Canis lupus familiaris: one gene and its partners. The protein of the gene in region 3 interacts with the protein of the main gene of each other region in a biochemical or structural test. Links are inferred from orthologs where the notes say so. Each region holds a gene or a part of one and is shown on either strand. Other genes may lie near its edges.

Region 1 (4,176 bases), on a different chromosome or scaffold from region 3:
AGGCTCCATGCAAGGAGCCCTACGTGGGACGTGATTCCAGGTCTCCAGGATCCCGCTGAAAGCAGCTGAAAGCAGACGCTAAACCGCTGAGCCACCCGGCCTGCCCTATCTCTTAACTTTCTTATACAAAATGGATTCAGTTTCCATAAAATTGTTGACCAAAATTGACTTTAAATAATGGCATGACCTAAAAGTCATGAAAAAGTTTGCCCCTTAAAATTTCAAGGTTTCAAAGTTGCTAGCTGGGTGGAGGGCATGTTTCTACTTCCTATATTTTAGTATTTCCTAAGCCTGTTTTTTTTTTTTTAAAGGAGAGTTCTTTTCTCTAAAATGCTTACCACAGTGGAATCCCTTCTGGAGATTGTAAATTTATATCAGAAAATAACCGGGGGCTATCTAATATTTAGGCAAACAATTTTGGAGTCCTTTTGTGCTGGCAGTTGTCATTTTGTAACTTACAAATGTGTAATGAAAGTAATTTATATTGCTCTTATCATTTTTTCTTGTCCGCCTTTCTTGGAGTTGGACTGGAATTGGTAGATAGTTTCGGTCCCAAACTAACTACTTCTAAGAATTTATTTCTTCGTTGATACTGGATGGTTGCCCGGCTGGACTTCACGTGTTTGTGCCCATGTTCCGCCCCCTGTCGGACTCTGCATAAACCCAGCGTGGCCAGAAGACTGAAGGTAGAGGCATTTGCCATCACAAATGGTATTTGCACAGTGATCATTGTTTTGGAGAGTGACCGAGGTCACTCTCGGGGAGCTCGGGGGGCCTTTCGGAAGCCTGCGCTAGGCGCCGGGGGCCGGCGGCCTGGGAGGCGCGTGGGCGAGGCGGTAGCGGGAGGCCCGCAGCTGCGAGCTCGGGGTCGTGCGGGGCCCGCTGGGGGGGGGGGTGGTGTCCGGGGCAGCTCGTACGCGCAAGGGGGCGGTTCAAGAGACCGGGAAGTCTGCAGCTTGTAAGGCCGAGGGCTGAGCGCTTTCAAAGAGAGGCGGGGGAGGGAGCGGGATTTCCCCGCCCCCGTTCCCCCACGGCCCAATCCCTTCGGCTTCTCCTTTTCTCCTCCGGCCGCCCGGCCCCTAACCTGCTCGAACCCATTATGCGGTAGAGGCGGCCGGTCTCTTTAAGGCCCCGCCGCGCCTGCGCCCTGGGCTTTCCTGACGCGGCGGGCCGGACCCCGGAGGAGCCTGCGGGCGGGCAGGGCAGGGGGCCGGGGGTCGGGGGTCGGGGAGCAGCGCCGCGGCGGCGCCCGCAGGCTGCGCGAGGCTCGGAGGCGGCCCTGAGCTGCCGGGCGGGCGCGGCGCTCCGGGGGGCGAGGAAGGCGGCCCGGGGAGCCGGAGCGGGGCCGAGGCGCTGAGACGCGGCGGCGAGGCTGCCGGCTGGATGGGAAGTTAATGTTTACGGCGGAGTCCACCCAACGTTTCCAAGGTGAGGGGCGCCGCGCCAGGCCGGGCGGGCCGCGAGCCCGGGTTCCGCTGGGCGCGCGGCGGACGGCGGGGCCGCGGCGCGGCGAGCGGGGGCCGCCGCCGAACTTGCCGCACGAGCGGGGCGGGCGCGCTCGGCGCCGCCGGGGCCTAAGTTCGCTGAGGCCGCGGCGGCCCGGGACCCTCCCGCCGTGGGCGCCGGCTAGGAAGCTCGCCGGCGGCGCCTGCACTGGACTCGCCGCGAGGCGGAGGGACCGGGCGGCTTCGGGGGCGCTCGCCCGCGGCTCCCGGGGGACGCTGACCTTTCGGCCCCGCCCTCGAGGCCAGGAGTCCGTGCTCGCCGGGCGTCTTCGCGGACTGAGACCGCCGGCGCCCCTGACTTGCAAAGTTGGCGTCTTTACGTGGGCCCCGGGATTCTGCGCAAGGCGTTTCTCCAGGCGGGTGGGTGACGGGCTCGCCAGGTGTGCTGCGTGAGCCCCAGGGATGCGCTCGGGCAGCGGTCGCACCCGTGCCCGGATCACCTCATGACTAGCGGGGCAAGCCTCAGATTGACCGCAGAATTTCCGGTACATTGGATTGTGGTGTTGGTGTTTGCTTTAGAATTGCCGTGATTTCTTTGTGCCTTTTTTTTTTTTTTTTTTTTTTTTTTTTTTGAGGGGAGGGGAGCGTCTTAAGTCAGTTGTCATCCTTTCAACGAAGAGTTAAAAACTTTGGAGTGGTTCCTTTGCTTTTCCCTGTATCCTTTGCCGTTAGAGGTGACTTTGAAAAAGCAGCATTTTCTCGCACAGATATCTTTTCTTTGGGTTACACTGTAGAATAATAAACTCCTTTCTTCGCTGAAATGAGAGAAACCCAGTGCTCCTTGAAAATCAAGAAAAGCTATCTGTTGGTGGTTTTTACTTTTGTTCTGGACTGATATGTGTTAGCAGTTTTTTTTTTTTTTTTTTTTTTGGTTTTTAATTTCATTCGTAAACTTTGTTGAGTTCACCTGAAGCTCCTTTTCTGTTCTAAAACGCTACTAGCCTTACGGTCTCTGAGAACTTTGTGTCAAGAAAACTTAGAAAACTTATTGAAGAATAATAAACAGAAAAAGTGCACAATCCGGAGTGCAGGTAAAGGAATTTTTTTTTTTTTTTTTACTAAGTGTGCCATCGCAGTTCAGGAAACAGTATTTCTAGGTTGGGGTTTATTTTTATTTTTTTTTATTAAAAAAATTTTTTTTTCTTTAAAAAAATTTTTTTTCTTTAAGATTTTATTTATTTATTCATGATAGTCACACACACACAGAGAGAGAGAGGCAGAGACATAGGCAGAGGGAGAAGCAGGCTCCATGCAGGGAGCCCGATGTGGGATTCGATCCCGAGTCTCCAGGATCGCGCCCTGGGCCAAAGGCAGGCGCCAAACCGCTGCGCCACCCAGGGATCCCTAGGTTGGGGTTTAGACCTGGGAGTGGAATTGGTTTGTGAGGTATGTGAATGATAAAACTCTAGCATTAGGTACTGTTGAACATTTTCCCAAAGTGGTTGTGCTAATTAGCAGGGAATGGTAATCCAATTACCCCACATTCTTGCTGATGCTTGTCAGTTCAAAACATTTTTGCTATTCTGGTAGAGGTGCAATAATATATTAGTGTGGTTTTATTTTGTGTTTTCCTAATGGTTGTGGCTTTATCTTTTATTGGTCATTTGTATGTCTTTTGTGAGATGTCTGAGTCTTATTTTTTTAGGATTTTTTCGATAAGAGCCCTTTCTGGGAGGTACACACACACACACATATCCATATCTGTAACCTATACATAGTTTATCTTATTCCATTTTGTCTTTCCATCTTTTAATAGTGTTTTTTCTTTTTTTTTTGATGGACATTGTTAATTTCAATGAAATGTATTTACTGTTTTTCTTTGAGTACTGCTTTCTGTGCCCTATTTAAGAAATCGTGCCTAGCCTAAGAATATGAAGATATTTTCCTATGTTACCTTACAGAAGTTTTTTTCCTTACAGAAGTTTTATTTTGTTTTACTTTTCACATTTAATTTGTGCAATTTCGAGTAAATTTCAGGTGGATTGTAGGGGATCAAGATTCACTTTTAGCCAGGTGAATATCTTTTTGACCTAGCACCATTTTTGAAAATAAAGTACCATACTTGTCCCTCTGCACTGTGTGACACTTTCTCATAAATCAGGTGATTGTTTAAGTGTGGATCTGTTTGTGGGTACTGTATTTTGTTTTACTGGTCTATTTGTTATCCTTGCACCAGTATCACTATTAATTAATGTAACTGTATAATAAGCCTTGATATGTGATAGTATAAGGCCTCTAACTTTGTTTTTTTTAAATATTGGTCAGTTCTTTCCTCTTAGCATTTCCGTATAAATTTCAGATTCTGCTTGTCAATTTCAATAGATTTTGGAAATTGGAATTGAATCTATATATATCAGTTTGGAGAGTATCTTAACATTGAGTTTTCTAGTATATGAGCGTGGCATATACTTGTATTTATTTAAGTCTTTTTAAAATTTCAGTAATGTTTTGTAGTTTTCTGTGTAGAAGTCTTGCATATCTTTTATTCTTAGCTATTTGAAATTTTTGATGTTACTTTAAATGATATATATATATTTTAAAGATTTATTTATTTATTTATTTATTCATGACACATGTAGAGAGAGAAAGAGAGAGGCAGAGACACAGGAGGACAGAGAAGCAGGCTCCACACCAGGAGCCCTCTGCGGAACTAGATCCCGGGACTCCAGGA
Region 2 (4,109 bases), on a different chromosome or scaffold from region 3:
GAGAAGAGGCCTTGAGACTCCAAGGGAAAGAACAAGAAAAAAGAGGCCCGGAGAAGCCTGAGCCTCCGGGGACAGAGAACTGAGTTAATGAAGAGGGCTGATTACCCAAGATAATTATGTAAAAGAGAAGGCTAGAGTTCTACATGGCTGCAACTTGGAGTTTACTCTGCCTAAGGTGAGTGTTTGTTTATGTGTCCGGCGTTTTGTTTTTATGAGTAAGGTTTTTTGGGTTTTTTTTTTTTTTTTTTTTTGGTTTTTTGTTTTTTTCCTTTTGTACCGGCTGCTCAATTTGAGAAAGCGTCTCAGCTCTGCCTCCCAGACCCCGATCGCGTCCCTTCTCCTCCTTTAGATTCGGAGCCCCATTCCTAGCCGTCTCCCCGCCGCTGGCTTCTGGGACCCTCCTCTCCGTACCCCCGTAGCGAGAAGCCGCCCGGTGTGCACCGTCGCCCCTCCAAACGCCTCCCGGTCCTATTTTCTAATTTCTCCAACGCTCGCCGGGTGCTGCTGTCCAAAGACACACCTTCCCAGCCAGCCCAGCTGTCGCGTCTAGCTCCAGTGGTTGGGGGAAGCAGTGGGACCTCTGTGCTCTCCAGACCGAGCCGCGGTGCTGGGCATCTCTCCCTCCCCTTCCCCTTGACAGACCATCCGGCCCGGATCGTCCCTACTCCTTCCCCATCGCTAGTTTTGTTTATGGAACATACCAAGGCTCCGGCAACCTGCGGTTGCACGGCTCCCCCCCGGTTTGGGGAGGGAGGGGGGAGCGTTCGCCGTCCCCGCTGTGCCCGAGACTGTTAGATCAATCTTTCAGATCTGGAGGCACCCGCAGCTGGTGACAGGAGAGCCCCCCCGCCCCCCGCGGGTGGGGGTAGGGAGAGGAGAAGGGACTCAGCTTGGGGAAGGAGGCAGGGAGGCAGCTGCAGTGCCGCGAGGGGTGCGTGCGCGTGTGCCAGGCTCGCCCGCCACCTCCCGGCTCAGTCTGCGCTCCTCCGCTCGCGGGGCAGCCGGGCCGGCGGGCTGGGGAGCGGGAGCGGCGCCCCTCGCCCGGGCCTCGCCTCCCCGGCGCGCCCGGGAGTCCCCCAGGCCGGGGCGCACACCCGGGCCACGCTCCCCACCCCCGCCCCTCGCACCCTCCACGGCCCCCTCTCCGTGGAGTTTTCCAACACGGGCGCCCGTCAATGGTCCTGCTCCGGGATGCACACGCAGCTCACGGCCGGAGGGGGGTAGCAGCCGCCGCCTCCAGGTGCGGGCTCTCCAGGTCCGCCGCCGCCACCCGCCGTCGCCGCCACTCGAGCCCCGGGGCGCGCTGAGGTCCCGGCCGGCCATGGGGCTGCCGTTGCTGGCGTGAGAAGGGGCGCCGCAGCCTCCGTGCTCGGGGTGCCCGGCTGCCTGCATGGATGTCTTCAGCTTTGTGAAGATTGCAAAGCTCTCGAGGTAGGGGCTGCGCCGGTTCATTTGCACCCGGGGCCGCCGCAGCCGGCAACTTGGTGCTTTATTTTTCGGGAGGCTTGGGGGGAGGCAAAAGCTGGAGAGAGCAGCGGGGCTTAAGGAAGGACTGAAAGGAGGGGGCCAGGGGCTGCGTTCAACTTCTCTCCCACTGGCTGGTGGGGCTTGTGTATCGGCGGCTGTAGAGCACAGGCGCGCGCGCACACACACACACACACACACACACACATGCACACCCTCAGGCACGCACCAATAGTCATGACAGTTTGTTTTCCCTTAGGAAAAACCCCAGTGGTGCTTGGGGGTCACATGTATAATTCAGGGCCAAGCGAAGATGGTTGTAATTGCTACTGGAGGCAAAGCCAGAAGTGCTTGGAGTTTGGGTTCCTGCTTCCTAAGCGGCACTGACCAAAAGTGGCCCCCTGGTCCCCACCCCTAAATTAGACCTCCACACCCTGAAAACTCAGCTTGTAGGTTGACCTGGGTAATTGTCCCGTGTTTCCAGCAGTGACCTAGATGCTGAAGACACGGAGACCGAAGAAAGAGACCTTTTAGCCTTTCCTTGGGTAACTATGTAGTCCCAAGCCCTGAAAAATTGAGAAATTTGCTTCCAAGGGGCCATGTTGTTGAGACAGAAGAAAAATCATGGATTCAGGCAGATTTCTCTGGCAGTGCTGATAGAGGAAGAAGATTTCCACTTTGGGGGCGCCTAGGTGTTACCTGGTCAGAGCATTTGCTCTAGGTTTTCTGCCCTGCTTATGCTTCCAAAGTCTTCATCAAACCCAGGAAGTAGGTCTGTCCTTCTGGCAGTGTGGCGTGAACTGGGAAGCGCCTGGTATGAGAAGGCTTAGAAGACCACACTCCACCTTCTTCACCCACGTCTTTGGGATGATGAGCCTTCTGCCCCTTGAGCTTGGCTCTTTACAGCAGTCACCAACCACGGCCTTAGGAGGTAGACAGGAAGAGTTTTCCAGGATGCAGTTTAGACTTCCTTGGAATTACGAGAAAATGGTTCTAGGTTTTCCTTTATTCCTTAGTGTCAGGGTGGGATGTGTTGATTGCACCAGGCAAGGATGAGCAGCCTCAGATAGCCCGGATAAAAAATGTGTGTTGACTTGGCTTGGCCAAATTACATTTGGGCCATTTTGGAAGCATTCGGTTTGCAAGTTGCCTTTCAGATGTGCCTTTCACCAACATCCACAGGTCTTTATGTGTTCTTAGTGCCCATCTCCACCTTCCCTCTCTGCTCACATGAGTCACTCTTAATGTCACAGCAGATTTTCCAGGGAGAGGGCCCAGGGTAACTTAGTCTGGATAGACATGAGGTATACGGCTGATGGGTAAATATGTCTGTCTTGGAGCAGCCCACGAAGAGGTGTTTTCCCTGCACATCAGAAGACTGACATGTCAAAGGGTGGGTGATTGTAGTGTGGCAAATTGTTTGATCTCACGCCAATATCACAGAGGGCCAGGCATCACACCTCTGTTCTGTTAACTTCCTGCATGCTTCTGCCTATGGCTGGTTTATAAACAGCTGTCGAGTCACAAACCATGGATGGTAAACGGCCGTGAGCAACAGTTTAGTGATTGCCCTGGTGCCATCTGCGTGATGGACAGAGACTGCCGAAGGAAAAGAAGTTCAACAGTATAAAGTAACCAAGATAGATTTTGGTGGCCTCAACTGCTAGAAGTGATAGATGTTAAAAAACATCCAGAGCCTAGATTTAGTCCTTAAACTTTGGAGTTTGGGAGAGGACAGTGCTGTATATCAGTGAAAAGATGGTTTATATTCATTTTGCTAAATTCTGGGATGCCTTCGTGATATTCACAAATCTGAGTTTTTGCAAAACCCAAGCCAGGCTGTGGGGGATTAGGATCTTATTTTAAAGAGAGGTTAAAATTTAGTAAATGAGTGTGAATTTCACTTTCTGTCCTTAACGTGATCCAAATAGAGTGTTTATTCTAAAGAGAGAAGCTGCACATGTTCTGAGCTTATGTGCCCATTAAGAAATCTTTCATCCATAGGCATTCTTCTTGTTGCTCAGTGTGAGCTCGGCGCTGGTCCCCAAGCTGAGATAGCAGTACGTGTAGAGGGTCATCAGTACGCCGAGGCACATGTTTACAGCTGCTGCTCCCTGGCCTTGTAGGAATAAAGTCTTGTGCATGTGTTTTAAACACTGTTACAGAAATCAGGTTCTTTTCTCAAAGGCGAAGTATAAAAGTGCTTACACTGCAGGATTTTCCTGATTTCAGAATGGATAATCTTCCTAAAGGATTTAGCTTTGATCAGCGTGGTTACTTGAGTGCTTAAAATTCTCGTGGTTTAGAGGTGAACGAACACACACACACAGTTACCCCGGGCCTTCGCCTTGTCTTTGGTTCCCAAGAACTTGAGTTTCTACATGTTAATTCGGGAAGCGGTTGCTGTAGAAAGCATACATGCTATTTGCCAAATGTCCTGTCTGCGAGTAAAGACAGAGGTAATTACAGAGAATTATTGAGAGACTATGAGTCCACGCTGGAATTAACACAGTAGTTTGACTTCTCAAAGTACCCACGTTTAACCACTTGTTCCCAGAATCTATGCCCTTTTAATCATGTGAAAAAAAAAAAAAAAACCTCACAATTCAAATCGCCCCTCAGGAATTCAGTACCACTTTATGGTC
Region 3 (4,142 bases):
CTTTCAACTGTTGCTCAATCTCCCAAGATGGTTGAGCCAGGAAAGCATGCATAGACGCCTGCTGCTAATAAATCAACACACCACTGCCTAGTTTTCCAAAATCACAGTGGGAAGAGCCCTGTACTGGAGATAGGAGAACTAATGCTGGGCTACAGGTCCCTGGGCAGGTTGTTTCCCCTCCCTGAACCTGTTTATCTTAAATTGAAATACTGGGTCAGATGAGGCTCTAAAGTCGTTGGGTTCTGGCAAGTTAGAATTCCAAGGTGCAACCCAAAAGTGAAACCCAGTGGTCAGACTTCTGAGTAAGTGTCATGATTACAGTGCAAGGTTCCCGGGACTTCCCTTTATCAGCCCAAGGATGTGGCCTCAGCCAAAGGCTGGCAGGTTTACAGGGAAGTCTTCCGGTTTAGAAAGACGATCTTCTTCGTGTTTCCAGTTTTGTTACTAACTCCGGGTGACCTTGGGCAAACTCGCTCAGGACCTCAGACGAGGGAGGTCCCTGTTACCCCCCCCCCCCCCAAAAAAAAGGTCTGAACTTTGAGAGCTTTTCGCAAAATTTCTCTTCCTACAACCCGGGCGGCTCAGAGCCGGAGCCAGGGTCTGGCCCAGCCAGAAGTCCCCGCTGGGACCTGCGGTCTACACCCAACCCCGCCGCGCGCGCCGGAGGAGGTGGCTCGGTTTCGGTGGAGGTAGCTACAGGTGAGCTCTTAAAGGGGCCGCCACGAGCTCGGGTGACAACCTGAGACGGGTGACTGGGCGAGGAGTGCAGACACGGGCGTGTGGATGAACGAGCAAGGGAAAGAGGGAACCAGGGTTTTCTTCCCTCCCTTCAATGCATTCACGCTTAGACTTAATCAGACTTAAAAACCCTCCAGGAGCAAACGCCTCAAACTCTCAATCTAGTTTACAAGCCCTTCTTTTTTCAACCCCTCCCCCCCAAAAGACTTGTACTGACGGGCGAATAATTTATTTTTTAAAAAAGATTTTATTTATTTATTTATTTATTTATTTATTCATGATAGACATAGAGAGGGGGGGGGAGGCAGAGACACAGAGAGGGAGAAGCAGGCTCCACGCAGGGAGCCCGATGCGGGACTGGATCCCGGGGCTCCAGGATCGCGCCCCCAGCGATGCCCGATAGTTTAAAGCATCAGTACGTAGTGGCGGAGAGCGCGCCCCCACCCAGGCCCCGCCCCCTCCCCGGCCAGGCCCCGCCCCCGCGGCGGGCAGGCCCCGCCCCTCCCCGCGCCAGGCCCCGCCCCTTCCCCGGCCAGGCCCCGCCCCCCGCGCCCCTGACGTGGGCGGCGCGGTCTACTCCTCCGCGAGACCGCTCCTCGGGGCCGGGGATCCGCTCCCCGGGGGCGCCGGGACCTCGCCGCGCGCGGAGGCGGAGGCAGCACGCGTGTAGGGACGTTACGAGGTGTGTCGGCATGTGTGTCCCGGACCTGCTGTAGGTGAGGTCGCGTCGCGCTCGGAGCCGCGGGCTGCGGCGAGGTGAGGGCGGGCTCCGGGGGCCGCGCCGGGCCACCTGTGGAGCGCGCGCCCAGTCGTCGGGCCGCGGGGCCGCGCCGGGGCCGCCCGTCCGCGGGGAGGCCGGCGGGGCCGCGCGCCGGGCCCCGGCCCCTCCGCGCCGCCTCCCCCTGCCGCCCCGAAGGCAGCGGCGCTCCGAGCCCGGGGTGGGCGCCCGCCGCCTCCTCACTTCCCATTGGCTGGGAGCGCGGTCACGTGGGGCGCGGCCGGCCAGCTCCGGGGCCGCCATCTTGGCGGAAAGTTTGGGGGCCGAGCGGCGAGGGGCGCGGAGGGAGGGAGGGAGGGAGGGAGGCGACGCTCCGGGGGTGGGGCGGCGGCGGGCGCGGCGGCGGGGGCGGCGGCGGCGGCTCCTCCTCCTCCTCCTCCTCCTCCTCCCCGCCCCCCCCGGCTCGCTCACCCCCCGCGTGCTCGGCTCCTCGAGCCCCGGGCGGGGCCGGGCGGGCGGCCCCCGAGCCCGTCCCGAGCGCACGCCGCTCGCGGGAACTTGGCGCCGCAGGTGTGGGGCCCGCGGGCCCGTGTCCCCGCAGCCTCCAGCCTCGCGCCGCTGCGCCCCCGCGCCCCGGAGCAGGTGGGGCGTCTGCACGCGTCGGCCGGGCCCGCGTCCGGGCACCGAGCGCCCCTGGGAGCCGGAGCTGCAGGTCCCTGTGCGGGGGGGCCCTCCCTCGGGGGCAGCTTCCTGGGACCCCCCCCCCAACCCTGCTGTTTCACTTGGGAAAACTTGGGCAGCGGGTGTGGCCCCTTCTTCAGGTACGGCTGGGAGTTTTCCGCGATTTTGAGAGTTCAGGGGAGGAATGCAACTCAGCACCACGATCCTCTTGTTTTGCTTCGGTTGTTCCCTTACTGTTTTTTTTTTTTTTTTTTTTTTTTAATTTATTTTTAAAATTTTTTTAAAGGTGTGTGCCCTCTTTCCGATACTGGAGGGAAAAACAAAAAACAAAAAACATGCCGGTCCGGAAGCAAGGTGAGAATTTATTTCGGGACCTCTCTTCTCGTGCGGGTGAGTGAGTGAGAGTGTTGTGTCTGTGTTCTGATTTGTGTTTTAAAGATGTTGGATTAGGGGATCCCTGGGGGGCTCAGCGGTTTAGCACCTGCCTTTGGGCCGGGGCGTGACCCCGGGGTCCTGGACTGAGTCCGCATCAGCTCCCTGCAGGGAGCCTGCTTCTCCCTCCTCCTGTGTCTCTGCCCCCCCCCCCCCGCCCCCATCATCTATCTATCATAAATAAATAAATCTATCTTTAACAAAATAAAAATGTTGGACTCTGATAAGACGGCGTCGTCGCCCTTCCCTGCTTGTTAGGAGACCGAAGCCGCCTATCCTGGAGGGGAGGGACCCCTGTCAGTGTCGTTTTCAAACTTTTCTTTTCTGGCGTCGCGGTCTGTAGTGGCTCTCGAGAGGCAGGTTCCTGTTCACTCCTCTGAAAGGTCTTCGTGAAGACTCTTTAATTGGTGTTTTGATATTTTAACTTTATTTATTTATTTATTTTTTGATATTTTAACTTTATGATCTTAGGCACTCTTTTGTGAGCAGTCATGGGAACCTGGCTATAAGAACTGGTGTTTTGAAACAGTTAAGATTCGGATTATTATTATTATTTTTAAAGATTTTATTTATTTATTCATGATAGACATAGAGAGAGAAAGAGAGGCAGAGGCATAGGCAGAGGGAGAAGCAGGCTCCATGCTGGGAGCTGATGCGGGACTCTATCCTGGACCCCGGGGTCATGCCCTGGACCAAAGGCAGGTGCTAAACCGCCGAGCCACCCAGGGATCCCCCAAGATTCAGATTATAATAACAAATTGTAGGTAATCTGCTTTTGCATGTCGGATCGGCTGAAGCTGTGTTAACTGATACTTTGATCAAACAGCCTTGTGTTGTTTTAGACTACTACACATTTATCACCAACTGTTTATCTTCCTCCTTTTTCTGTGACATACATTTAGAAATGTTTCAATTATTCTAAGGAATATATGTGTGTGTGAGTGTAGCAGCGTTGATTGACCTAAAGGATTTGGGGAGGTGTTGAGATGTCTTGTAGGATGATTTGCTGCATAAGTAGTGTGTAATAACTGTATATGTGTAATTTTAATCAAACTCTTGTTTCCTTCCCAGACACCCAGAGAGCACTGCACCTTTTGGAAGAATATCGTTCAAAACTAAGCCAAACTGAAGACAGACAGCTCAGAAGTTCCATAGAACGAGTCATTAACATTTTTCAGAGCAACCTCTTTCAGGCTTTAATAGGTGGGAATTAAAACTTTATTTGTGACCATTATACATCAGCTAGGCTTAATGCTCCTCTGAATTCATTTATTTTATTTTATTATTATTATTATTATTTTTTAATTTTTATTTATTTACTTATGATAGTGACAGAGAGAGAGAGAGGCAGAGACACAGGCAGAGGGAGAAGCAGGCTCCATGCACCGGGAGCCTGATATGGGATTCGATCCCGGGTCTCCAGGATCGCGCCCTGGGCCAAAGGCAGGCGCCAAACCGCTGCGCCACCCAGGGATCCCTTCATTTATTTTAAAACTTAACAGAGTGACGTATTTGGTTCTCTGTAAGGCACTCAGTAACTTGAACATCCAGGGAGTTGTATGTTTGATAGGCC

The links. The genes of interacting proteins can lie anywhere in the genome.
Region 1: the proteins of DLG1 (region 3) and EVI5 interact in a test that uses a peptide from one of them, tested with the Homo sapiens proteins (2 studies listed by IntAct, with this or other methods). The link is inferred for Canis lupus familiaris from reciprocal best matches to the Homo sapiens genes DLG1 and EVI5.
Region 2: the proteins of DLG1 (region 3) and FRMPD4 interact in a test that uses a peptide from one of them, tested with the Homo sapiens proteins (2 studies listed by IntAct, with this or other methods). The link is inferred for Canis lupus familiaris from reciprocal best matches to the Homo sapiens genes DLG1 and FRMPD4.

Annotation. Positions count from the first base shown.
Region 1 is NC_049227.1:56,750,287-56,754,462, forward strand, and holds the start of EVI5 (ecotropic viral integration site 5 protein homolog), read left to right. Parts: upstream 1-1,241; 5' UTR 1,242-1,428; intron 1,429-4,176. UniProt on the Homo sapiens protein: Functions as a regulator of cell cycle progression by stabilizing the FBXO5 protein and promoting cyclin-A accumulation during interphase. May play a role in cytokinesis.
Region 2 is NC_049260.1:8,631,922-8,636,030, forward strand, and holds the start of FRMPD4 (FERM and PDZ domain-containing protein 4), read left to right. Parts: upstream 1-1,174; 5' UTR 1,175-1,390; coding exon 1,391-1,431; intron 1,432-4,109. UniProt on the Homo sapiens protein: Positive regulator of dendritic spine morphogenesis and density. Required for the maintenance of excitatory synaptic transmission. Binds phosphatidylinositol 4,5-bisphosphate.
Region 3 is NC_049254.1:30,951,263-30,955,404, reverse strand, and holds the start of DLG1 (disks large homolog 1), read left to right. Parts: upstream 1-1,280; 5' UTR 1,281-1,454; intron 1,455-2,124; exon of another isoform or gene 2,125-2,277; intron 2,278-2,423; 5' UTR 2,424-2,472; coding exon 2,473-2,527; intron 2,528-3,640; coding exon 3,641-3,772; intron 3,773-4,142. UniProt on the Homo sapiens protein: Essential multidomain scaffolding protein required for normal development. Recruits channels, receptors and signaling molecules to discrete plasma membrane domains in polarized cells.